7 linked regions of the Nothobranchius furzeri genome follow. The protein of the gene in region 6 purifies or fractionates together with the protein of the main gene of each other region. This does not show direct contact. Links are inferred from orthologs where the notes say so. Each region holds a gene or a part of one and is shown on either strand. Other genes may lie near its edges.

Region 1 (4,009 bases), on a different chromosome or scaffold from region 6:
GGTGGCCGAAGGATTGAGTCTCCGTTTTTTGCAGATGATGTGGTCCTGTTAGTTTCATCAGAACGTGATGTCCAGCTTTCACTGGAGCAGTCTGCAGCAGAGTTTGAAGCAGCTGGGATAAGAATCAGCTCCTCTATGTCAGCGACCATGGTCTTGAGTCGGAAGAGGGTAGAATGCCTTCTCCGGGTCAGGGATGAGGTCCTCTCTCAAGTACAGGAGTTTAAGTGTCTCTGGGTCTTGTTCACGAGTGAGCATGAGGTCGACATGTGGATTGGTGATGCATCTGCAGTAGGGCTGGGCAATATGGCCTAAAATCAATATCACGATGAGGATTTCACCTCGATAACGATAAACGGACGATAACTACAGGAATGCGCAGAAACAAAAGTTGTCCACTAGATGGGGCTGTCACATGTTTTACATTGAGTCATACTTTTACGAGGTGGTACAGCTTCTTAAAGGGACATGAACGTTGACAACCTACACACATCTTGACATGGGAAAATTATCTCGATAAGTCAGAAAATTTGATAACGATACATTTTCGATTTATTGCCCAGCCCTAGTCTGCAGAGATGCGGACATTGTACCGTCTGCCATGGTGAGAAGAGAGCTGAGCCATAAGGCGAAGCTTTCGATTTACGTTCCTACCCTCACCTATGGTCACCAGCTTTGGGTATTGACCCAAAGAATGAGATTGTGGATACAAGCAGCCAAAATGAGTTTTTTCCACTAGGTGTCTGGGCTCTCCCTTAGAGATAGGGTGAGAAGCTTGGTCATACAGGAGGGGCTCGGAGTAGATCCGCTGCTCCTCCACATTGAGAGAAGCACGTCCAATTGGGAGGAGACTTATGCCCAGAACACACCAGCTGCGAAGAACCGCGGAGTGGATTGCTCACAAAATTTGTGCGCTCTCCGCTCCTCTTCTGGTCACATCAGGCGAGAATTTTCAACGAGCACTTCTGCTCACGCCTACTGTTTTCTAAACATGCCCTTGCTCTGTGTGTGTGTGTGTGTGTAACCAGTTTGCCTTGCTTGTTGATATTGGACACTGTGCTGATTCTGCTGCTGTGCATTTGTTTGTATTCACATTTATTAAATCCATCTTTTGCTGTAAACACTGAATTTTAAATTATGGTAACACTACGTTTTTCTGCAGGTGTGTGTTTGTTCCTTTTCATCTCTCTAGTCTATTTAGATACACAAACATGATCACTTTTATCAATTGCAGTGTTTTATTGTGAATTTTTTTTTTGTTAAATTTACCAGCCTGCCTCTTCTGCTTTAGTTTACTTCCTGCCAGAATTGTTCACTCACGGCTCACGTAAAAATAGAGCTCACGCCAAAATGATCGCTGCACGGAGCGAGCCTTTGTGGCGCTTCCCAGCTGATGTGACTGAGAGCATAGGTTAACAGGGACAAAGCGCCCGTCGTTCAACAGCGCTTCCTTGCTACTGTATTATCTGGGTGCCTCGCCTCTGACAGTGCACCCAGGGCAGCTGCGGCTACATCGTAGCTAATCACCATCAGTGTGTGAATGTGTGTGTTAATGGATGAATTACACACTGTAGAGTAAAGCGCTTTGGAGTCCTTACTCTGAGAGGCGCTACACAAGTGCGGGTCATTTATCATTATCATTTGAACTAGATTAGAACCAATTCCCTTTCAGCCAGACTAACGCGTTATATGCATTTTAAAAAACTACAGAAGTCTTTTTAGGGCAATACTTTGGTTCTCTAGTGTGCATGTTAAGGCACTGTATATGTCATGGCTGACCAGGGGAGACCTTGGGATTCTGCGGGAGGAGCTGGCCCAAGTGGCTGAGGAGAGGGAAGTATAAGCCTCTCGACGTAGACTGCAGCTGCCGTGACACGACCCCGGATAAACTGAAGAAAATAGATGGATTGGTCTTAATGCGCCATTCTAATTTTTGATAATGCAGCTGCCATCAGCCTCCAGTGAGGCAAGTGTACAGCGCTGCAGACACGCACATGTAAAGAAGAGCTTCCTGCTTCCTCTGCCGCAGGATAGGAACATCTGTCACATGTCGATGTAAAATTCAGATTTAAAGTATTACATATGAAAGGGACCCAGGTCTAACTTGATAATTATGACGAATATGTGTTGTGAACGTCATTAAAAGCAGATGTGGGTCATAAAAAGCAGAAGTGGGTCACATCTGAGAAAGAAATTCTGGTTCGACCATTGAGTCAGCAGTGAGAACACGGCCTATGATCCAATAATTACATGTAAAAGCAAAATTTTCACCTTCTACGTTTGTTTCGTTACAAATTCTGTTATAAATGTTGAGTAAAATAGCCGAATAGTTTCCACACCTTCGTTAGCTCCCTTCCTCAGCTGCTTGTAGTTGGAGGCTTGCTGCACCAGGTCCAGGATGGTTTTGGTCAGGGTGGCGTCGGCCAGAGGGTAGGCCTTTGGGTTCACTTGGGGCTCACTCTGGTCACAAAAATGAGAAGGTTCAAAATAAGCTTCAACAGAACAAACCAGCTTTAACAAAAATCACATTATCTTATTTTAAGAAAGCGCACAACCGTGTGTTCTTATTCATGCTACATGCAAGCCCGTCTGTTAGCCTATTAGCTCTTACACTAAGCTCACCATTTTTGTAATCCGGCCCTCTCGGCGAAATGCTTCACGGAGGACTATTTGATTTGTCTTCAGAATATAAATACAATCGAAACGTGAATTATTCTTGTTTCATTCGAGTTTTAATAGCGCCACAAAACGACTATTATCTGCAGCATGCACTAGATCCAAACGTTGACCCCACGTGTGTGATGGTCGTCAGGCTGCACATGCGCACAGGGAATGTAATTTTTTCAAAACAAACTTTATTAACAAACAACATGAACAAACTGAAAAATACTTTCTAAAGTTCAAATAAAGTTATTTTAAAACAGCTTTCGAGTGTGTATCATGGTGTGTATTGCTTTATGACACTGTAAATGTCGAGGGGATATCTTATAAACCTTTAATAAAAAAAACAAAAATATGAAAGAAGGTTTAGACTTTTTATCTTTGAACCCGTTTTCGTTTTAAACCTGAGGCGTTTGTGGGCTTTCATGAAGTCGTTTTTTTTTCTAAATTGTGGACTGTGACTATTAGTTGTGGGAAAATGCTTTATAAAGATGATGATGATGATGATGATGATGATGATGATGATGATGATGATGATGATGATGATGATGGAAAGTTAATTATAGAATTACTAATTATGTAAATGCAAAATATTAATCAGTGTCACGATCTAATCAGATTTAATTTGCCAATTATTTTCCACACACAATCAATTTGATTCATATTTCCCATTTGCTGTTCTCGAACTCTTTGTTTTTTGTGATTTTAGATCTGGAAAAATTGTTGATGCAGTTTATTTGTTGGTCTGAAGAGGGCGCGCGGTTTATGCAAGCTAGAGATGAACGCGCTATGCATTCTGGGTAGGGCACTTTCCATTCAGCCATATTGTATCGTTGTCCTGGCTGAAGGAGACAGGAGAGATGAAGGGGATTCGGGGAATCAGTCAGTTAACGGTGAGAGCTGACTTTATTTGTTCTGAAAGTTTGCGTGACGGGATCAGTGTTCCCATCCCATCCAGTCGCTGTCACTAACTGTCTTTGGGTGGTTTTAAACCATACCTGTCTTGTCTTGGAACAAGCAGCCGGCTAAGCTTGACATGACTGTTTAATCTGAAAACTTGATGTGACCAAGAATAACTATTTTTCTAGACATGTATGTATATGATCATGAATTAATCTCCACTGTGTTAGGCTCTAATGACTGACTCCTCAATTGTTTAAATGTAAGATAATTAACAACTAGCAGCTAGCTAGGCTAGTTAGCATACCAGAGGGTACGTAGTAGCTTTAGCATTTTTCAGAAGGCTTAACTCTAGGTGTGTGTATCTCACTCAAATACATATCTGGATCGGTGAATGAAGACTAAAATTATCAAGTGATTTTCATTTGGAAAGAAACCTTCAATCTTTGTA
Region 2 (4,167 bases), on a different chromosome or scaffold from region 6:
AGAGACGAGATTCTCCTGCCACCAAACTCGACACACTCCACACCACGGCTGCACCTAGAAATTCTGTCCATAAAGGTAATGAACAGAACCGGTGACAAAGGGCAGCCCTGGCGGAGTCCAACCCTCACCAGGAACAGGTTCGACTTACTACCGGCTATGAGGACCAAACTCACGCTCCTCTGGTAAAGGGACTGAATGTCCCTTAACAGAAAGCCACCCACCCTATACATTTATGTGCTCCACACAAAACCTGAAAAAATACTGAAAACCTATAGGACACCTCCAATTCTTGCCTTTAATTTAAGTTATAAAATACACAGTGGGTTCATATATTAGTGTGTTTAATGTCTTTGAACAGCTTTAGAGTCAAATGTTTATGCCACAGTTCAAGGGTGTCAGAAATAACACCAAATCAAATGTTTGACTTAGTTTGTTATTTTAATTAAATCCATTTCTGAAATGTTGGAGACTGAATCAAGTTCTGTTTCATGCAGAAAATAATAAACATAAAAAATAAATCTTAAACTTACAATAATATTCACGATGTGTGTTTTATTATTGATGATCATAACACCATGGAGGCTGTGGGCTGGATTAGGATTAAAATACCCAGCTGATGGATCTCCTTCACTCACCAGCTAACTACAAACCTTCCTGTGTGACCCTCATCATGTTACCCTCATGTCTATGCTGTCTATGAAGGAGCAGAAAGGAAACTTGATCTCATGTAATGAGCCAAAGCTTCCTCCCAGTTTTTCTTTAAACTGAATTTAACATCAGTTTATCATCACACTAGACACCCGCACCAGCAGGTTAACAGCAGGCTTCTTTATTAGCACACCCTCGGGGTACATACATACATACTGTCTGTCACACAATGTGTTCCCCCGACACACACACACACACACACACACACACACACACACACACACACACACACACACACACACACACACACACACACACACACACACACACACACACACACACACACACACACACACACACACACACACACACAATTAGTACCCACTCACATGCCCTCAGTGCAGGTGGCATATGTAAAAAAATAAATTACAGAATCAATTTTAAAATGAATCTAATCAATAATGCTTTAAGAACCTTTCAGTAAAAAACAATGACAACATGAAATTTGTTCCTCAGATAGATTTGAATGAACACACCAAATCCTAGAATGTAAAAATGAAAAACTAAAAGCACACACACACACACACACACACACACACACACACACACACACACACACACACACACACACACACACACACACACACACACACACGCGCGCGCTCTTACTATTTTTGAAAAGGCACTTAGGTGTTCATGCCAAACAACCTGGGTCCTGAGAAACAGAATGCGTAGTTTGCTGGATAATGTAGTTTTTATTAATTCACCTCCACTGTCATGGGATAGTTCTTGGACTACTGCTCCCACAATGCATTGCATTCCGTGTTTGTTCTTGCGTTAGCAGTATGGCGTCTTCTTAAAGCGTATAAAATTCGCTAGTATTTTGTTGACAAGTGGATACGGTAAGATTTGAACCAAACAATTAACAAACATACAGGCTGGGTTTAATTTTCCAATCATAGCTAACTTTTACAGAATTTTAGTTTCAGTTTTGTATATTCGTGCTACTTTTTGAGGATAAACTTGCCTCTTTTCTGTTGCTAGCGGGCTAACCTGCTAGCTTTCTAAACGTACGTGCAGATGTTCACAACTGAGTCTGATGTCAACTTGATTTCTCACTTTGACTGAATAACTAAACCTTGACTGTGAAGCTTCATCTCTTCGTAAGCCCAAGGATATCTTGCTCACGATTGTAGGAGACGAATCAAACTAATCCGTAACTGTTGATAATATAATTATTGAGGGAGTGCATCAATGTAGGTTTTTGGGAATAATAATTGATGAAAAACTGTCTTGGAAACCTCATATAATGAACTTGTTTACAAAAGTAGCCAAATGTGTTGGAATTATGAAACGATGTAGCTTTGTACGTGAGCAGAAGGCTTTAATTGCGTATAAAACCAATGGGATAAAACTAATTGGATTCATTTTATTACCTTGCAAAAACGAGCTATTAGAAATCTTCATTCAACTAAATACAATGATCATTCCAATTTACTGTCTCTACATTAATTTAATCTTGAGTTACATGATTTAGTACATTTTAAATTAGCCCAAATTATGTATAAATTGTAAAAAAAATTCCCCATCAAATTTAAACTTATTTCAAGATAGAGACTCATAACTACAACTTACGAGGGAGCAATAAACTGTGTCAGCCTATAGCAAGGACAACATTGAAATCAATGTGCATCTCAGTGAGGGTTGTGAAATTGTGGAATAACTTGGCAGAGGAAATAAATAAATGCTGTACACTTGAAGCAATTTTAAAACCTATGTAAAAGAAGCGTGATGACAAGGTATAACGAGGAAAGAGAGACATTATCCCCACGATGTATGACATGAGTACAAATCTAATGGCCTAATAATTAGGGACGTGTATTCTACCTTCCCCTTATTTAAATAAATAAAAATTCATTCAAGAAATGTGAAAAGTTTTGCAGAAAATTTTTTGTGTTTTATTATTAGTGGAGGCGACCCTTGGGATCAGCTGTACTTATTGTTTCAAGAGTAAAATAGATGTGCATTTTACATCTATTTAACTTTTGACTTTCTTGTGAATTACAGGTAGAACATTTTAGTTTTTACGTTGATCTTGTTTGTTGTATCAGTCGTTAAACGTAACTTTAAAAACCCAATAAACTAAAGAAAAGATTCAGAGCTGTTGGGATTTTTGAAGTAAAAGTGAAATGGTTTTGTTATTACTTCCTGACATGAATTTTTGTCTGTAATCATGAATTATTATTGTTAAAAGGCAAATGGAAAATCGTGCCAAAACACTTGTGTTTTGCAGATGGCAGCAGAGTCCGCAGACAGGAAGGATGCAGAATCCTCAGGAACCAAAGACAGAGAGAGGAAACGCAGTCGTTCACGAGATCGAGACCGTAAAGGGTCACCTTTACGCAAACGTCATCGTTCTCGTGAACGAAACCGCTCCAAGTCTCCAGACAGGTAACGAAAATGCCAACATATAAACAGAACTCAACCACAACATTGTGGCCCGTGATACTTGCTGCTTGGCTGGAGTTGCATTTACACATCCAAGCTTGACGTTGTGTTTCTGTCTAAAATGCCTCATGATGACAGAGACCGCCGCCTGAAAGACAGAGACAAGGATCGTGACAGAGACAAAGACAGGGAGAGGAGCCGTAAGGACAGAGACAGCCATCGACGGGATAAAGATCACAAGAGATCCAGGTTTGTAAAAGGAAACCATAATGATGTTTACAAATGGTTTGATTATTATTGAAGTTTTAATTTAGCTTGATTCTGTTTTGTCCTTTTCTCTGTTAGAAATGTCAGCATCCTAGGTAGAAGTCATTTATATTGGTATAAATTTTAGTTTCTTTTTGCTTTATAGAAGCCCTTCACCAAGGTCTAAGGATGGCAAGATGAAGAAAGAGAAGGATATAAAAGCAGAGGAAGAAGAAGATGAAAAAAAGAAAGAAAAGGTATGACTCTAGTTTAATTTATGGGCTAAAATTAGTGATGCACCGATATCTGATATTAATATGACCGTTATGGCTGATAATCAATATTTGCTGATACCGATGTACTGACATTAATGCTCCTAACTTCAGCAGATTTTGTATAGAATGAAAATGATTAAAGCTGAATGTACATCATGTGCACACACCAGACACATCTACGCTTCTGAGATGATTACAATCATTGTCACATGACTTAACCGATACACATCATCCCCTCACCCTCAGAAACAGATCAACAAATGAAAACAAGGTGGAAAAAATATCGGTTGTTAATATCGGCCCAGTTTTATTTATCGGACCGATACCGATATTGATGCCGATCTACCGTGCATGCCTAGTTAAAATAACCCTTAGGCAAGAACCAAACTTTCATATAAATACAAATTTTCATATTTGTATTTTCTTTAGTTTCTTAGCTAAATTTCATAAAAGTTGAGGAGAAGTAACTGAATTTGGATACTTTTTAAATAAAATAATGGATATGATTTAGCTTGTCTGGGATATTTTCTGTTTGAGGTTTTTTACCTGT
Region 3 (2,168 bases), on a different chromosome or scaffold from region 6:
TTACTCAGTAACAGATATGATTTCAAATGTAGCGAATTGCAATTCTTTTTTTAAAAACGTACTCAAGTTAAAGTTAAAGTACAGATTCAAGAAACGACTTAAAAAGTATAAATATACAAAAAAAGCTTCTTAGGTGTGTTCTTGCTGTGTCGTATCTCTAATTCCATGCTGTAGTTCTTTTTTAAAACACAGAGCAGTTTTGTTTACCTGCTCTGTGTTTTAAAAAAGAACTACAGCATGGAATACAAAAGAAGCTACTCAGTTACAGTAACGTGAGGAAATGTAACTTGTTACTTTCCACCTCTGAATTTAATTTAACAGAGGTTACGGTTGTAGCTTCACAGATGTGATGTATATAATTCACATGAGATGTGACATTAAAACCACTATGATACTGGGAGTAAACTGCACTAAGCACCTGAGGAGCCGCTGGCCAGCATGACTCAGAACTCCCGCCAAAGTGAAAAGAAAACGTAGAAAAGTAAATAAATGAAGCGGAGTCTTTTTTGCACCAGATTTATTTGTAAAGTTGTGTAAGTTAGAAATAAAAGTACAACAAGTTCAGCAAGACTTTTAGTCGTGAAGAAAAATTGTTCATAACTTCTATTTTATATTATTGTAGCTTTAAACTCTGCCAGAAGAAAGCTTTTGTTTTTTAAAGTGAAAGAAAAAAAGATGGAAAAGTGCCGGTGAGAAGTGATCCGGACACAAAACTGAAGTGAAAACAACATTTATTTTCAGGAGGCCTCCTTTCTGTTTCTGAAGTCTTAAAATAAAAAAGTGGGTATCAGAACTCGGTCATCTTCTTGTGTGTGTCGGCCTTCCTGTGCTCGCTCTGGATGGAGAGCTCCTGTGCTTTCTGCTGGGCCAGCAGGCGGCGAGCCCCTGACAGTTGCTCCTCCAGCTGCTTAACTCTGGAAGCATCTCTGTGCAAAACACAAACAAACCCGGCATGAAGGAGGAGGAGGAGGAGGAGGAGGAGGAGGAGGAGGACGAGAGGGGTGACAAGTAAAGAGGATTTCTGGTAGCTATGGAAACAAGAATCTCACCTCACATTTTCACATCCTGTTTACATTCTCACACAACTCCTACCGCTCTCATGTTACTTTAAATACATCTGATCAGAAATAAAAGCTATCTGAACTCGACCAGAACTGATAAAGTGCTGTGAGACACATCTGGACCGACCTGCCCGTCTGCCTGCTCAGTGACTCGCTCAGTTTCTGGATCTCCCTCTCAGTCTGAGCAACCCTCTCAGCAGCCTGGAACAGCTTCACATTCAGGCTCCTCTTGGCGTTCCTTCCTGCTCTGTAAGCTTCCACCCCGGTCGCCGTCGCTGCCGATGGCGCAGCAGCGCCCCCTTCTGCAGGATCTGTGCATTTGTCTCCAAGCTTGTGATTTAAAAAGTCAAACACAGTTTGCCGCTTTCCGGGAACTCGGGGCTTCCGGCGGCGTTTCGGGCGGGAAGCTTGTGTTCCGTCTTTCGCAGCCTTGTTCTGAGTGCGTCTCTGTGTTAGCTCTGCACACTCGTCCAGAGACTTCCCCTTCGGTAGCACCACCGCCATCACCGGCTCTACTCGACCCTCCTGCAGCTTTCCTAAACCTGTGGAATGGAACAAGCTTTTGAAAAAAGGGAGCTGGGGTCTCATTTATCAAACATAGCGTAGAATCCTTACTACAACCGTACTTAAGCTCAGCAAAAACAAATGTACTTACGCCAAGTTGGTTTGTGATCTATCAAACATGGAGTACACACAGCTGCACGCAATCTCTGCTTCATAAATCGGAGACTAACGAGAAAGTTTCTCAGCTGCATTTTAGTCACATCCCGTCCTCACCACGCCCACTTACTGCCATAAATGGTCAATGCAAACTAGTGCCTTGTGGATCTCATGCATGTACATAAGCCGGCTGTTGCAGCGCTCCGCCAATGACGATGGCGACCGTAGATCAAGGCAGATGAAGGAAGCGCAATTTCACAGAAACAGAAACTGAGGTACCTGTGGGTGAGGTGGAGAAATGAAAGGAAGTGCTTTTGCAAAACAAATAAGAGAAAATCCACGGAGCGGCACAGCGTTGCTGAAGCCGTCGATGCTGTGAGTTCTTCAGAGAGATCTGTGGCGGATATAAAAAAAAGTGGTCCAATCGGGATTCGATCCCCAGACTCC
Region 4 (3,999 bases), on a different chromosome or scaffold from region 6:
TGAAGGAGCTGAACCAGCAAGTCTCGAGTCTTCTTTTCATTTTCTCCCAGCTGAAATCGCTCAACTATGAACTTCATCTGGGCATCCACCTGAAGGAGCGAGAAAAACTGTTTTAGTTCAATCATCTCAAAAAGAAAAATAGAAACACTTGATTTACTGAGCTGTACGACACATGAACCATGAGGATTATCATGCTGTATTTTCTTTAAATAATCTGTAATAAATATGTTGCCCAGCTGCACGGTTCATTTCTGATTATGTCAAATCAGTTCTAGTACGGATGCTCACAGATCCCAGCTGACACAAGTCGGGTCTGAGACGATCTAGGACCTGCTGGAGGTTCTGGGGGTTGTTCTTCTTCTTGGGAATTAACTTAAATTCCTTCTTTTCTCGAGGCTTGACCCGCAGCTTCAGCCCCTTCATGCGGTGCTCTACACAGGACAAAGCTGCCTGGATGCTCTCCGTTTCACTGAACTGCACGATGGCAAAAACACCCTGTGAGCACAAACACACACACCATCAGTCACTCTGCCCATGATTATAACACCCGGCCTCTTTCATGAGAAGGCTTCATCTAATAGGAAGTCCGTCCCACCTTGCCTTTGTCCATGATAACATCTGTGACGGCCCCAAACTGCTGGAAGTATTCGGAGATGTCCGTCTGAGAGATTTCAGGCTTGATGCCACTGACAAACACACTGTGCTCCTCCTGGTTCTTCCTGGTGTCTCGTACAGTCGTCAGGGTCTGATGCTTTCGCCCCTTCACATGCTGATCGACACTCGGCACTGGTCGGCAACAACATCAAAGTATTTAGTAAATCAGAGGGATTTCTACCACTTTACATCCTGATTCACTGTGTTTAATCAAGTTTTTGTTTATTCTAAAGAACTATTTCTTGCAGATTAAATTTTAAACACACAAGTTGAGATCTCCGTAAGTAAAAATGTAAAGAACAGTCTGAACGTTTTACCAGCCACCGTTACAGATGTTCAGATTTATCTTACACTAAACAAATGGATCTGTTTCTGGATTTAAAGAGCAAGTCACCCAAAAATAAACCTTTTTTAAATGAGAAACTAAATAAATGTGTGTCTAATCGTGCTGCAGACACATGTAGTCAATAGTTTTGCACTTGTTAAATTTTTAATTTTCTGCCTTAAATTGTCAGTGTTGTGCCGTTGTCAGGTAAAAACTCTGCTCTACACTTGAATTTAAATCTGCCATCGCTCTTGGCTAAGAGGTTTCCTAGAATGTTAGCTGGTACCATATGATGTCACAATGTTGTTGTGAGCCTATGTGTGTGTGTATTTGTTAGCGGCTGCACCCTCTCGGTCTGCTAGGCAACAGCATTTGTTGCATTTTTCAAACAGGAAGTGGGAGTGGAGTAATACTCTGGTAGGGGGTGACTTGATCTTTAAATGGATTTTTCTGGAGACTGATGCCATTCTGTCATCCTTCAGAAATGTTAAGTTCGTAGTTTCTTTAGTCGTGTACTGCTGGGACTTAACAAACCACGAGACCAATCCCTAACCAATTCAGCAGGCCTTAGCAGTGTCTCATTTTACAGCTCAAGATGGTGACATTTAGAAAATGAATAAGAAGAAGCCTCACTTAGTTTTTGTTCAGCTCCGCAGATTTGTTTTCAATATTTGGGTCTATTTTCTCTTTTGGAACATAATGAGCATCATTCTCTTGTCCTTTTCATACCAAGGAAAGATGCCACTTTTAGCACAAGTGTTGCAGATTTGTGTCGTTTACTTCACTTTACAAACTGTGTATGGTTTTCTTAAAGACTAAGGCTAAAGCTATCTTAAAGTTATGTTTCATACTATTTAGAACTGAATCTCAGTCCACACCAAGGAAAAGGGAAAATAAAGAAACTTTTATTGATGTCTCAACATCCAGAGCCTATGGTGTGAATGTGAATGCATTTGACAGATGCTTTTGTCCATAGAGACTTCTAAGTGGAGATGCAATGTTCAATGTAAAATACTGAAGTCTGACAACTTTTTTTATGCTTGTTTTTACTGTCTTGACCTGTTTGATTGCTGGTATGCCTTGTTGTTTCTGCTTGATTTTATTGAACGTTTTTATTCAGTCTTTTGTGACATTTCAGTAAGGCACTTTGGTCCTCTCATGCTGTGCTGAATACAGTTACAAAATAACTGGTATGGTACTATCTGGTCTAATATAATTACTTGCATTTGACGGTATAGTACAGATTCACTTGGATTTAAAGGTATCGATTGAATTAGAATCGACTCTTTTTGCCTTTTCTGCAGTGCTGTGAAAATTTTTTTTTTTTCAAGAATAATCCTAAACTTTAAGATGATCAATGGTGTGTTATTATTCACTCCAGTTAAAGGCATTTGGATAACAACCACATTTGGTCGTCCCGTATGTAATGTTGGACAAATAAATTTATTGTTTTGATTTTAGAAAGACAAAACAGTTGAGTTAATGTTTTTTTTACTTCCATCTCAGCGCAGGTTGTTGTTTTATTGTTAAACGAACCAAGAAAAACCTTTATTAAACAACATTCCTAACAACCAGGCAGCTCACTCGCGCGCGTGGCTGAGCTAGCTTACTTACTGTTTGGTAAGTTGGTGTTACACAATGCGCAGAAAAACCCTCTCGGCGTCGTTTGAATATCACTGTCTGATGACATGGTGATACTAAACAGTTTAACCAGATACTACACCAAACAACCGTCTACAGTTTAGCTTTGAGGACACCGCTGCGCTTTAAATTAAATCTCCCTCCAGCGTTGGCTAGTTGTTTGTGTTCTGTCCGTCTCTAATATGTGTCCGGGTTGAGTTTTTTTTTTAACCTCACAACCTTCCAGTTCCGTTTGATTATGTTGCATACTTTAAATCTATTTAGCTACTTTTGCATTTTCTTTTAGCCAGCTAGCTAATTACTTTAAACATATCATGTGGTCAACACTACACTAGAATGAAGCATGTTATATTTCTGGTGTAAAACGGATTCAGATATTACTCTTGATTTGTACGTTTGCTGACAAATTCAGCTGTTTAAATTAAACAAATCTCCCAAGAGATTTCAGCCCTTAAACTAAAGTTAAATTAAAAAAGTTAAACTATGTAAACTAGTTTTACATAGAAGGATCAGTCACTTGCATGGATTAATTTTCTGGTCAAATAGAAGCCTTGATTTTAATCTTACAAATGAAAAGTTTAATCATTTTATGTGTGAAAATGCTCAAGAAAAGAGTATTTGTTTATTAATAATAAAGAAACCATGTTTTTCCATTGTAAAAAATTTTATTTTTCCCACCATAAAATTATTTGCTGAACTTGTATTGAGTAACATACAACTTGCAAAAGCATAACCCCTCCCCCAACAACAAATGCCTAAGATCCCTGATGAGTTGAGACAAAAAGACAAACTGGCTTTATTCACAGTAAAATCAGCTAGGTGTTAAAATCTAAATCCAATTAATAAAATCTAAATCCAATTAATAAAAAGAAACGAATAAAGGAAAACAGTAATAATGATTAATACAATTTACAGGTTATTTCTTTGCCTGTCTCCCTCGTCTGGTCCTGGGTTGCGGCTCGGCTTCAGCGACACTCTCTTCCCTGGGTTTTGCTGCCGCCGTGTCAGCAGCCTTCGCTCCTCGTCTACCTCTCTTTGCAGGTTCAGCTTCAATTTTCTCTGAGAGATCCTCCTCTTCAGGTTTGTTGGTTTCCTTTGATGTGTTTTTGCTTGTTGTGTTTGCAGGTTTTGCCCTTTTACCTCTAACTGCCTTTGCAGGGGGTTCTCTTGGAATTTCCAGGACTTGCAGACCTGAATCAAACCTCACAGATTTCTTTGTGTTTGCATTTTCCTCACCAGCCGGTTTTACCGGCTCGTTGGTAACCGTGACCTCAGCTTCTGGGACCTTGGCTGCAGCTCGTCCCCCCCTTTTTGTGGGTTTGAAGAGTGCTGGAGGAGGTTCTGATGCCTGTACTGCTGATTCAACGTGGGCCTCTGCT
Region 5 (3,500 bases), on a different chromosome or scaffold from region 6:
GGCGCTGCTGGGGTCTGTTAAAGACAGCATCGTTCAGGGCTTCCAGTGGGGCACCAGGGAGGGGCCTCTTTGTGACGAACGTAAGAACCACGCTGAGTTTAGCTGTTGGATGTCAGAATGCTTGTTGATATGGACATACGTAGCTTAATAAATATAAAATGACAGAGTCTTGTGTTTTTTCCTCGCTCTTCAGCCATTAGAAATGTGAAGTTTAAGATCTTGGATGCTGTGATCGCTCAGGAGCCTCTCCACAGAGGAGGAGGTCAGGTTATCCCTACGGCCAGGAGGGTTGTTTACTCTGCTTTCCTCATGGTGAGGCTTGGTTTGATCCATACCTTCTAAATGCTTGCTAGCTTTGATTGAATCATAAATGTGTTCATTAGAACATCGTAATGCTTCTCCGGGTTTTAGTGCTTTAGAGTCTGCTTTGTTCTCCCAGGCCACGCCGAGGCTGATGGAGCCGTATTATTTCGTAGAGGTCCAGGCTCCGGCTGATTGTGTGTCAGCGGTCTACACGGTGCTGGCTCGGAGGAGGTTTGTCTCACGAGGCAAAAACAACAATTCTGACAATTATTTGTTAAAGTTTTAAAAAACTTCTCGTGTGTTTTCCGTCTGTCAGAGGTCACGTCACCCAGGATGCACCTATTCCCGGCTCTCCACTCTACACAATCAAAGCTTTTATCCCAGCCATCGACTCTTTTGGCTTTGAGACTGACCTTCGTACGCACACTCAGGGTCAGGCCTTTGCTCTGTCTGTCTTCCACCACTGGCAGGTGAGATTAAACACGCAACCTGCTTTCTGCGTGTTATCGCTCTGAATTTGATTTCATCAGATTTAGCTGCGATTAAAATTCAAATAGCAGCAGAAATGTGTGGCCTACCAATAAAGTGTGCACCTGAGTGTGACAGTCACTTTGCACCATGAAAAAAATCAATCAATAAATACTTTATTAATCCCAGAGGGAAATTAGAGCGGTAAACAATGTTTTGATCTCTCTGCTGTTGAACTCGTGCGTTTGTGGCAGCTCGTGCTGCGTCGTGGTCGACCTCATGCATGTCTGCCACTCTGGGCAAACTGCTTCTGATCCAAAGGACGGTGGAGTGTTGAGTCATTACTTTTAAAGCGTTATGAGGCTGTTTGTGTCTGCCTGACGTGTGTTTGTGTCTGCACTCTGTTGAGCTGTGTCAGTGAAAATGAACTCCACTTAGGCTAGATTAATATTTCAGCTTAGTGTCTTTAAGCCACGAGCTACGGAAAATATTCCCACGGCACAAATTTAAAGTGATATCGTCTTAACCGTTTTATCCCCTTGAGGTGAAAATAAATGCATCTAACTAGACATTTTAATTATTCACTATATGAATGCTAATCATATGGAGTCGACCAAAATTAATACAACTCTTGACACCTTTGGTTGGTTTGTGTTCAGATACTTTCTACCTGGACTGCACGATATTGGGAAAACCTGCGATATTCGATAATGGTGATTGATATTGCAATGACGATATTACTTGCTATAAATAAAAACTTAACTCGGGAACAAAAATAAAGCAAAGAAATAAAATAAATCATAAAAATGAGAAATGCAAAAGATGTGAGGAAAGGGAAAAGAAAATGATCAAGAAAAGCAGAATCAGCAGAACAAAGCTAACTCAGGTGTTTGCTAACCATTAAAATTAAGTTCCGTCCACCTCGGGGGCGGGAATCTAACCTATGAGAACCCACCCGATTGGCTAAATGGGTGAAGAGCTCTATTTGATTTGTTAAACATCATTCTTCCGTTTGACTGACAGAAGCTTGATGTGAAGCAAACATTTGAGCTGACCATTCATTGCGATATTTTGGTTCTTTGCGATACGCATATTGCTCATGCTGATATCGCGATAACGATATATTTACGATATATTGTGCAGTCCTACTTTCTACAGAATCTTTTTCAAGCTTTTACCAATTCAATACATTTTTAATACATCAGCTTTTCACTACTGGAATATTCCCAGACATAGTTTTATGTAAGCAGCGATATTTAGTTTTTGTTGCTGTGGGGGCCGATTGTTAAGTAATATTGTCAGAATTGCTGGATTTGATCACGTTTAGATTTGGATAATATTAAAATTAAACCAGATAGAAAAATATAAAGATGCTAATCTAAACAAGCAAAGTTAAACGTAAATATTTAAACTGAAAACTAAATGTGTGGAGCTGAATATAAATGTTAAAATATAAAATGTGGTTATCGTATTTGGGTAACGTGCAAATTTAGACTCGCGTGGATGGAAAGTGGCCGACCAAAGAAAAAAAATTCTCTATATTATGGATCATTGTTCCCGTCATGGTTCTGCCGGCGCTTTGGTAAATGAGCCACGGTTGAACTGACGGACAACGTTTTACTGTCGAGGAAGCTTTAGAGACCTTAGACGGGGGTCTCTTCACCCCGCCTTTCGATTGGCCACTTCTATTTTACATCAGTCTGAGTTAGCACGTTAGCTCAATATTTCATAGTTTTTAAGAAAGCTAACTTACCGGAATATCTAAACTTTAACATTAGTGTGGCAAGGTGGACAAACGAGGGCCCAGGCGGGATTTGATCCCCCAGACTCCCGGGTGAGAGTCATACGCTCTAACCAGTCAGCCAAAGGGACATCCCCTTGGCCAAGTAGCCAGGGCGCATGATCTATCGGGACATTGTGACAGGACACTCACACTGTCACATCAGCATTGTAACTTTAAAAATCGACATTTCTACTTGATGTCTGTTTATTTTAGGAGTTCTGTTTGGAGTTGTGTTTAAACGTTTTCAAATAACTTTGTAATTTCCTAAATGAATGCGACGCAAACGTGAGTTCAGGATTCCCACCCCATTTTAATAAGATTTATTTAGTATTTCTTTGCGATTACTTTTACACTTAGTGCCTCATCAATCACCGTTATCATCCGTAACTGTAATTACTGTCCCAACACGACGGATTCAGCTGCTCAGGGTATCCAGAATAGCTCAGAGGTTGGTGTAGTGCACCATTTGGCCACATTTCCTTAATAGTTAGATTTAAATACTCAATGTTATTATGTAATTAGTAGCTCTCACGCTTTGGTTGATTTGGCTGGACCTACTTCACGTACACGCCCACCACCCTGCTAGCAGGTCTCATCTTTCATCTGCGGCTAAATGCAGAACGGGACGATTAATATATGACGCGTTTTGTGAAGGTCATCCTGCAAACTGCCTGGGGTAATGGCTTTAGTGGATCGTTTTAAAGCTCAACCTGCCGACGTTGCATTGTTGCTGTGTTGGTCACATTTGATGGTGTGACGGTGCTTTCACATTTGCACATCTCTCCATCACGCTGATGAACGTTCTGCTGACTCCGTACCAACAGGACAGGCGTTCAGCTGAATCTCATAAAATGAAAATATCCACTCGGCTGGTTGAAAAGTTTCATGTGTTATATGAGAACAAATGTGGTTTCTGTTTGCATCACCTATCTGATCCCCCTTTAAG
Region 6 (4,234 bases):
GGCTCTCATAACACCTGAGCAGTGCCACAGACTGATCGAGTCCATGCCACGCCGCATTACTGCAGTTATTGAGGCAAAAGGAGCCCCGACTAAGTATTGAGTGCTATACATGCACATTCTTTTCATGTTCATTCTTTTCAGTTGGCCAACATTAGAGAAACAAACATTTTTTCATTGGCCTTTAGAATATTCTAATTTTCTGAGATACCAGATTTGATGTTTTCATTGGTTGTCACCTATAAATATCAAAATTAAACGTAATAAACATCGGAAATACATTGGTCTGTGTGCATTGCATGAATATAATGTACAAGTTTCACGTTTTGAATGGAATTACTGAAATATTTTCAACCTTTTGATGATATTCTAATTTACTGGCCAGCACCTGTATAAGAATTATTAACATCATCAACATAAACATCAGTCCAATCAGAGCAAAACAGTTCATATTTCAGAGCTTCAATTGCAACAGAAGTTTTTTTTCTAGTTGTGGTATAATTTACATTTTCCAGAGATGTTTCATCACTTCTCATCATTTCCACCACAGTAAACACCAGTAAATGATCAGTAATATCAGTTAAAAAAGGCCATTCTTTGTCTTGACGTCAGATTGATTTATGAATATATTATCAATCGGTGTAATACTACGGCTGTTATCCTGCTTGGTCTCAGTATCAACGGAAGGAAACCTAAACTAAACATTAAATTGATAAATTCAGCTATTTTAGTATTATCATCTGATTTAAACATATCAGTATTATAATCACCACAAATTAAAGCAATTTTGTTCCTACATTGCCCAAATAATGTTTCAATACGTTCATTAAACTGATCTATAGAAGAACCAGGACTACGATACATACAACTTATAATGATGTTTCTGGATTTTTTACACTTAATTTCAATTGTCAGACACTCCATCAAATTCTCAACAATGAAGGTCATATTTGTTAGTTTCGTACAATCAAAACCAGTCCTAACAAAAAGTGCTACCCCACCCCCTCTTTGTTTTGTCTGCTCTGAGTAAACATTTCATAGCCATCCAGTTTATTCAATAACTCTTTTCCATCTTTGATCCAGGTATCTGAAATTGCAACTACTGTAAGTTTCTCCTTGAACTCATTTAGGTAATCTGAGATCTTAGATAAATTGTTGTAGAGACTTCTGCTGTTAAAGTGTATTAATGAAAATCCACACATACTCACTTTGAAGTCCTCTACAATATAATATTCACAGTCCAGGTGGGTGTTGCTGCAACCATTAATTTCTGAGTCAACTCCATTATCTATCAGATTTGATATTTTTTTTAGATTTTATGATCTACATCACTGACAAACCTAAAAAAAAATCTATTATTTCCTGATTTCTTGTAGTCTGCTGTGTCCATGAATTAAATACCATCTTCTTCTCATCATTTGAGTTTTTCCAGTTCAGAGAGGCTCTTGATGCTCACCACCATAGCCTGTTCTGGTGGTCCAGTAAGCTTGATCATTACTTTACAGTTCCTTATCCAGGTATCCTGTATTTTCCTCTCCTTCTTCAGAATTCTTGCTTGCCAGGCAATCTCTGCATTCTTCTTTGTCAGGTGCTCATTTACATACACTCCTGTGCCCTTAAGCTTCTTTACGACCTTTAACAAGTCAACTTTATGTTTCCTGCTCACAAACTGAATTATTGTTTTGTTTTTTTTTTCCAGTTTTTTTAGGAATTGTGTAGCATGCAGCTATAGTGGTGCTGTCAATAGAAATGCCCTTACTTCCAAAGAACTGAATAACTTGTTTCTCCAGTGACAAACTATTAATGGTAAATGGCCTGTATTTGATATAGCGCCTTCTGAGTCCTGCAACCCCCCAAGGCGCTTTACAACACAATCAGTCATTCACCCATTCACACACACATTCACACACTGGTGGGGATGAGCTACGATGTAGCCACAGCTGCCCTGGGGCGCACTGACGGAGGCGAGGCTGCTGAGCACAGGCGCCACCGGTCCCTCCGACCACCACCAGCAGGCAACGTGGGTTAAGTGTCTTGCCCAAGGACACAACGACAGCGACAGACTGAGCGGGGCTCGAACCTGCAACCTTCCGATTACGGGGCGAGATCTTAACTCCTGTGCCACCATCGCCCACGCAATGGTGGGTTAGGGTTAGTTCATTATTTATTAACTAACATTAACACTAATTGATAAATTTTTATTATGTTGTTTGAACCCAAGGGTCTCATTATCAGATTTTTTTAACTTGTTGGATTGATCTAAAAGTGCCCCCTTTTTTTTTTTTTTTTTTTACTTTGAGCCCCGCCCCGTCAAAGGTCTCTGCACGGCCCTGGTTTCAGTAGAACGAGCTCTACGAAAACCTGACTGCCTGGAAGCTATCATAGATGTTATGAGTGAGTTAGTAGTGAACTGGTGCTGCAACCCACACCAGTAGTGAACTGGTGCTGCAACCCACACCAGTAGTGAACTGGTGCTGTAACCGTAGCTGTGCAGAACACACACGGACCGCACGACGAAACCATAGAAGCGTTCTGATGTTCGCACGTGACTCGGAGCTAACGGCTCACGGACACGCGTGTCTAGCCGAGCACGCGCACCTGCTGTTTGGACCATAAGCGTGTTTCTCTGTTTTAAAGCTTCGTTTGTTTTGTTGTTCAAACTTACCGTAAAAACAGACGAAGCCGCAACGTCTCCTAGCACTGCAACCCGGATATGAAACTGTTGGCTTCCGGGTCAAAGCTTCTTTTTCCGGTTGGTGGATCCGTGGACTTATGGGTAATTAACCAATCTACCTGTTAGCCAGATAACCAAACAGCTGACGATCAGGACGAAGGAGAGTCTCGGTGCGTCAGGTAAAGTCACCTGGGTTCGTCACACAAACGGGTTCGGGTGGACGGAAGTAAAGTTGACATGATGTTCACAGATTCGACTTTTCCGCCTCAACAACTTCGGATGTTCTGGAACATAACGCTGTGTGGAGTCAACCCGCAACACCTGCGTTATTTAAAACCTCTGCTTGCGACGCTTTTACGTTGATGGGGTGACGGTGGCACAGGAGCCCAGAGCCCCCCCTTAACCGGAAGGTTGCAGGTTCGAAACTCATAGAGTTGCGTGTTTTCCCCATCCATGCGGGGCTTCCTTGCGGGGTTAGACGCGGTTTTCCCCCCCTACAGGCTAACTCTTGTAGGTCTGCCACATAAATCAACTTGCCCTGCTCTCCTAACATTTTTTGATAAATGTGTCTTTAATTAGGTGAATTTTTAATCTCCTCCACAGTAGGACCCTAAACCTAGTGGCGCCAAATCGTCACAGCTGATCGATACTCTTGTGCCCGGCTTGGTAAACCTTTTAGGTTAAGAAAAACTGGTTTTCTGATGTTGGGTGAATTTTTCTAACTTGAATTATCAGTAGGTCCTACACAATGCACGGTGGTGCCACCTGCTGGTGAAGGTGGAGGTTTGTCAGCAGTGGCAGAACCAACATTAGGACGAATTACTGGATGCTTTCTTTGCAGTGAGATGATAAAGCATCTGGAGGGCTTGTTAGTGACCTGAGCAGTGAGAAGCGTGATCAGTGAAACATGTAAATGAATGATAAACGACCCACGCTTGTGTAGCACCTTTCAGAGCCTGAGGACTCCAAAGCGCCTTACACTACAGTGCATCATTCATCCATTCACACGCTGGTGGAGATGAGCTACGATGTAGCTACAGCTGCCCTGGGGCACACTGACGGCCAAGGCTGTCAAGCACTGGTGCCACCGGTCCCTCCGACCACCACCAGCAGGTAAAGGTCTTGCCCAAGGACACCACGGCAGCATTCTCTGTCTGAAGCTGGGATCGAAATTGCCACCTTCGGGTTAGTGGACAACCCGCTCTACTCCTGAGCTGCTGCTGTCCATCATGTAGTTCTGAGCTGCTGATAAAATTCAGGGCTGACTACAAAATCTTGCTCATCACATATAAGGCCACTCACAACCTTGCCCCTCGTACCTCTCCCATCTCATAAAGGTTTCTACACACTCCCCAGTTGCCATCAACCGGCACAGTCCCCCTGCCCGTCCTGTCACCGTGGGACGTCTGCCCCCTAACCCCTCTCCGTGGAAGTCATTACCAGCTGAACCCTCCACCTGTTGAAGCTTTTCTCTTCCCTGTAACTATGTTTGACGTTTTATCGTGCTTTTGAATGCACCACTCATTTAATGCTTGTTCGACTGTTTCGTTTGCTTTTACTTTA
Region 7 (3,959 bases), on a different chromosome or scaffold from region 6:
CTTTACTTTCTTACCACTGTGAATAAGCAGGCAAAGGTGTCTCACAATATCACAATTTACTGCTTCAAATAAAACTGTCAAGAGGGGACAATAACACCCCATTAATGCTTCTGCATCCTAGGAAGTCACATGACTTCAAAAAACACACAAAAAGCATCATCTGTGCAGCTTTTTGCACTGAACCGAGCAGAGAGAGAGAGAGAGAGAGAGAGAGAGAGAGAGAGAGAGAGAGAGAGAGAGAGAGAGAGAGAAGAGAGAGAGAGAGAGAGAGAGAGAGACTCATATGATCGTTTTATGAATGTTTGAAATCTTGAATATAATACTAATTTAAGTTACTGTCTGTAATGTCTGTGTATCAGTGTTATTATCAAATCATAATGCAAATTAAAATTATTTAATATAATGCAATAAAGTGAAGTTATTGTGCATTTGTCCATAAAGTTACAATGTTTTTTTTATCAAAGTGCATCAACAAATACTGTGAAAACATTCAAAGATTTGTTTTTACGAAGCAGAAAATTGATCTAAACCAATAATCTTTGGAATATTTATGTTATGCATACCAATGCTCGACATAAAGAATCAAACCAGATGGTTATCCCACAGTGTCGTAAACTCAATAGCCTCTCGTAGTTGTTTTTATGTCCTTTTGTTGCCTTTTCTGTCATTTTTTTTCTAAGATTCCGCCCCCAGATTCATGCTGTGCTTGTTGGGTGGTTAGCATCATCTTACAAACAAAAACTTAGCTACGACTCACGCAGGATGCGGTCACAGGAGGAAATCTGTAATGGACACATGTAAGCCAGAAGCCACAGCGTAGCTGTAATCAACTGATGTGTCTTATAGAAGGTCAAAGCGGCAGGGGAAAAAATTAATGCTGAGCACAGGGTGAAGTGTGCTGTATGTGTGTCATTACCCCATCAGCACCTTTTCTAATATGTTATATTCATTAATACTTTATTGAAATCAATATTTTTACAGGTTTTTAGCTATAAAATGCACTCGCTAGTTGCCTCGTATGTTTAAAATATACGTTATAGTATAAATTATTAGTAGATCAATGTAGGGTGTGATTTCAAGTTAGAAAATTACGCCTCCTGGTGGTGCAAAATTCTTTGTGGGAAAACCAGTTTGCACAGCATCGCCCAAACACCAGGGGACGCGGTACAATCATAGCGGCAGTGCTCCCTCTAATTATTCGAAGAAGAAGAGAAGGCTTCTCAGCTGAGGAAAATGGCAGACGTTGAGCTGGACATCATGTCCAGCAGAATGAATAATGGAAACGAACACATGTAAGTTCTGTAATTCGGAGACAACTGAGGCTGGTGGCTGTGAGACTTAAATGCATTTCGGTGTCCGTTTTAAATGGAAATCGCTACATGTGCGGAGGATGAAAGAGTCGCAGTCTCACGTTGTTTCACGAGCGAGCTGAGATGCTAACGACAGGCTAACGCTTTCGGCTAAGTGTAATTTAGCTCTGCTAGCTTAAGTTTTCTTTAACGCGTAGCAAATACAGCGGCCAGGTTGTTTTGTTCATTCTAATTTGCTCATATACACAATGTACGCCTGAACACATTAGAAAAGCTTATAGTTTTATCGAGTTTGAATGTGAGTTAGCGAACAGGATATAGCCTGCTAAGTTTGCTAAAGACATTTAGCGTATCTGTGCTAATAGCCGAGCCATCAGTCTTGGCGGTTTGAGCTAACAAGTAGATCTGGCATGGCGTTAAGTGAGTGTATGATATGAATTATAGGATTTCTGTTATTAGTAACTCCTATGCTGTAAACAACTGTTAACCCCGGTTTAAAGTGAATTAAAAACATTACGTAACCTTGATCCTCATAATGTATGTGTTCTCACTGTCGAGTGGGTTAGCTTGAACTTTATTTACCTTACAGTTGTTAGATCAACAATGCTCGTGGTCCTGAATGTTCTGTTTTTGTTTGGAAAAATGCAATCAAACCAAGTTCTGCTTAATGTGGATCCAGAAAAACGTTTAACTAATGAAATTGAAGCTATTTGACCTTCTGTTAAATAGCTACTATGGCTTAAGCGTTCAATTAAATCCTTCAATCTAGAAAACATTTATTTTTCTGTAAATTACAGATAATGGTCACCACTGTCATAACCCTCTTATTATTTTTTTTTCTTTTTTTTATTCCTGAACAGAAAGCAAGATCTGGAGAGCCATGAAAGAAGTGGAAATGAAGACAGCGGGGACATATCTGAGGAAGAGGAGGAGGAAGAGGTAGGGATGAACAAGAGCAAGACCTAAAAATCACCAGTGGTGGTAATTAAGATCTTAACCATTCACTCTGATTCACTTGAGTGTTTACCGGTATCAATCAATCAGGGTTGTTTATTTGGTTATTTTAAAGTTAAGAATGGGAGAAAAAAAACATGAAACATATCTGACACATTAGTGTTTCTTATGTGGGTGGATGTTGTTTGGTGATTTGGGTGTTTTACGGTTTGAACCCATTTTTCTTCTAAGAAGTGTCGTCCTTGTTCCTTGGAGGAACGATAACATAAAAAAATGTAAAAATCCAGTATTACACAGTAATTAACTAATTTTATTATGAACACAGTAACTAAAACATTCTTTACTCTACTGATTTAAATTTACTTATAAATAATTCAGAATGACATCTAAAATATTCTTTTTTTTTTGTTCCAGGAGGAAGCTGTAAATACTGAGAAGGTCGATGAAGGGTCCAAACATCACAGCGGTAGTGGTAAACGCAAGAGGAAAAAACACAAGCATCGCAGCAAGCACAAAAAACACAAACATGTATCTGATGAAGACAAGGACCGTAAGCGAAAGCATCGTCATAAACACAGGAAACACAAACGCAAAGAGGACACCTCCCCGTCTGCTGCCGCCCTCTTTGGTTCCTCCACCCACAAGAAGGTGGAGTCGTCTCCCTCTTCTGGGAATCCCAGTCTGGATGACAGGGCCGTGCTGGAGGACCTGGAGAAACAGAGGGCCATGATTAAAGCTGAACTGGACAGTCAGCTGATGGAGGGCAAGGTTCAGTCTGGCATGGGTTTGATTCTTCAGGGCTACAACTCTGGGTCTGAAGAGGATGGAGACGCCAGGTTCAGGAATGGAGAGCAGCGTCTGAGGGGCAGCTCAGGTAAACCCATCTCTCCAAGAGGGGGGAAAAGTGGGAAATCGAGGCGAGACTCAACAGAGGTCAGTAAGTCCAGCTCCAAGCGTCGTAGCAAGTCTGCAGAGAAACCCGCCAAGGAGTCTAAGCAGGACAAAGGGACCAAAAGCAGTAAGGACGCGGGCGTTAAGGACAGAGGGCGTGGCAGGAGCAGGTCTAAGGACAAAAAACGCTCGGGCAGCACTGATCGGCCCAAGGAGAGACGGAAGTCTAGTTCTCCTTCCAACTTAAAGAACGAGAAGAAAGCCGATCGTGTTGATAAGCGTTCCTCTCCACAGCGAGATGACAGGCCAAACCAGGACAGAGCAAGTCGACGGTCCAGGTCACCAGTACGAGAACGGCCAAGCCGCTCAGATGCAGATCGGGACAAACGGGTCGCCAAGTCTCCGTCTAAGGACGCCTCGCTGGGGAAAGAGAACCGCTCCCCTCACAGACGAGGGCCTCACAGCCCTCCACGGAAACGCAGTGCTTCTCCTCGTCACCGAGACAGTCGCCATGTGTCGACTGGCGCCTCCGAGCGGACGTCAAAACAGAACCACTCTCCGTCCAGAACCAAGTCTCCCCCCAGAAGGGGCCGCAGCCGCTCACCGGACCTCAGGAGGAGGGAGTCAGACAGGCAGGACTCACCCCTCAGGTTCGTCACTCGCTGCTTCATCGTTAGGTGGTTATCTGTTTACCCACAAAGCATTTGTGTTCGGTTTAATGCCTAGGGTCAGAATACTGCTTCGTGGGACCAATCTGTGTTGAAACGAGTCGTTAAAATACAAATTAAAAAGTGAGGAAGACAC

Evidence for each region.
Region 1: the proteins of prpf4 (region 6) and snu13b purify together in Homo sapiens (affinity purification with mass spectrometry; 4 studies listed by BioGRID and IntAct, counting the BioPlex papers as one, with this or other methods). This does not show direct contact. The link is inferred for Nothobranchius furzeri from reciprocal best matches to the Homo sapiens genes PRPF4 and SNU13.
Region 2: the proteins of prpf4 (region 6) and ddx23 purify together in Homo sapiens (affinity purification with mass spectrometry; 4 studies listed by BioGRID and IntAct, counting the BioPlex papers as one, with this or other methods). This does not show direct contact. The link is inferred for Nothobranchius furzeri from reciprocal best matches to the Homo sapiens genes PRPF4 and DDX23.
Region 3: the proteins of prpf4 (region 6) and zgpat purify together in Homo sapiens (affinity purification with mass spectrometry; 4 studies listed by BioGRID and IntAct, counting the BioPlex papers as one, with this or other methods). This does not show direct contact. The link is inferred for Nothobranchius furzeri from reciprocal best matches to the Homo sapiens genes PRPF4 and ZGPAT.
Region 4: the proteins of prpf4 (region 6) and tut1 purify together in Homo sapiens (co-immunoprecipitation; 3 studies listed by BioGRID and IntAct, counting the BioPlex papers as one, with this or other methods). This does not show direct contact. The link is inferred for Nothobranchius furzeri from reciprocal best matches to the Homo sapiens genes PRPF4 and TUT1.
Region 5: the proteins of prpf4 (region 6) and eftud2 purify together in Homo sapiens (affinity purification with mass spectrometry; 4 studies listed by BioGRID and IntAct, with this or other methods). This does not show direct contact. The link is inferred for Nothobranchius furzeri from reciprocal best matches to the Homo sapiens genes PRPF4 and EFTUD2.
Region 7: the proteins of prpf4 (region 6) and prpf4bb purify together in Homo sapiens (affinity purification with mass spectrometry; 3 studies listed by BioGRID and IntAct, with this or other methods). This does not show direct contact. The link is inferred for Nothobranchius furzeri from reciprocal best matches to the Homo sapiens genes PRPF4 and PRP4K.

Annotation. Positions count from the first base shown.
Region 1 is NC_091756.1:29,119,202-29,123,210, reverse strand, and holds the start of snu13b (NHP2-like protein 1), read right to left. Parts: upstream 2,801-4,009; 5' UTR 2,623-2,800; coding exon 2,620-2,622; intron 2,458-2,619; coding exon 2,337-2,457; intron 1-2,336. Other genes in the region: uqcrc2b (cytochrome b-c1 complex subunit 2, mitochondrial), read left to right, coding at 3,519-3,551.
Region 2 is NC_091755.1:54,897,176-54,901,342, forward strand, and holds the start of ddx23 (probable ATP-dependent RNA helicase DDX23), read left to right. Parts: upstream 1-1,367; 5' UTR 1,368-1,550; intron 1,551-2,941; coding exon 2,942-3,099; intron 3,100-3,234; coding exon 3,235-3,345; intron 3,346-3,508; coding exon 3,509-3,599; intron 3,600-4,167. UniProt on the Homo sapiens protein: Involved in pre-mRNA splicing and its phosphorylated form (by SRPK2) is required for spliceosomal B complex formation.
Region 3 is NC_091755.1:51,593,943-51,596,110, forward strand, and holds the end of zgpat (zinc finger CCCH-type with G patch domain-containing protein), read right to left. Parts: intron 1,604-2,168; coding exon 1,189-1,603; intron 927-1,188; coding exon 788-926; 3' UTR 501-787; downstream 1-500. UniProt on the Homo sapiens protein: Transcription repressor that specifically binds the 5'-GGAG[GA]A[GA]A-3' consensus sequence. Represses transcription by recruiting the chromatin multiprotein complex NuRD to target promoters.
Region 4 is NC_091756.1:31,152,475-31,156,473, forward strand, and holds the start of tut1 (speckle targeted PIP5K1A-regulated poly(A) polymerase), read right to left. Parts: upstream 2,801-3,999; 5' UTR 2,670-2,800; coding exon 2,594-2,669; intron 787-2,593; coding exon 596-786; intron 496-595; coding exon 289-495; intron 90-288; coding exon 1-89. Other genes in the region: mki67 (proliferation marker protein Ki-67), read right to left, coding at 3,537-3,999. UniProt on the Homo sapiens protein: Poly(A) polymerase that creates the 3'-poly(A) tail of specific pre-mRNAs. Localizes to nuclear speckles together with PIP5K1A and mediates polyadenylation of a select set of mRNAs, such as HMOX1.
Region 5 is NC_091745.1:13,626,204-13,629,703, reverse strand, and holds part of eftud2 (116 kDa U5 small nuclear ribonucleoprotein component), read left to right. Parts: coding exon 1-80; intron 81-193; coding exon 194-312; intron 313-439; coding exon 440-534; intron 535-619; coding exon 620-773; intron 774-3,500. UniProt on the Homo sapiens protein: Required for pre-mRNA splicing as component of the spliceosome, including pre-catalytic, catalytic and post-catalytic spliceosomal complexes. Component of the U5 snRNP and the U4/U6-U5 tri-snRNP complex, a building block of the spliceosome.
Region 6 is NC_091746.1:69,563,499-69,567,732, forward strand, and holds the start of prpf4 (U4/U6 small nuclear ribonucleoprotein Prp4), read right to left. Parts: upstream 2,801-4,234; 5' UTR 2,663-2,800; intron 1-2,662. UniProt on the Homo sapiens protein: Plays a role in pre-mRNA splicing as component of the U4/U6-U5 tri-snRNP complex that is involved in spliceosome assembly, and as component of the precatalytic spliceosome (spliceosome B complex).
Region 7 is NC_091747.1:44,848,220-44,852,178, forward strand, and holds the start of prpf4bb (pre-mRNA processing factor 4Bb), read left to right. Parts: upstream 1-1,159; 5' UTR 1,160-1,233; coding exon 1,234-1,292; intron 1,293-2,170; coding exon 2,171-2,249; intron 2,250-2,678; coding exon 2,679-3,805; intron 3,806-3,959. UniProt on the Homo sapiens protein: Serine/threonine kinase involved in spliceosomal assembly as well as mitosis and signaling regulation. Connects chromatin mediated regulation of transcription and pre-mRNA splicing.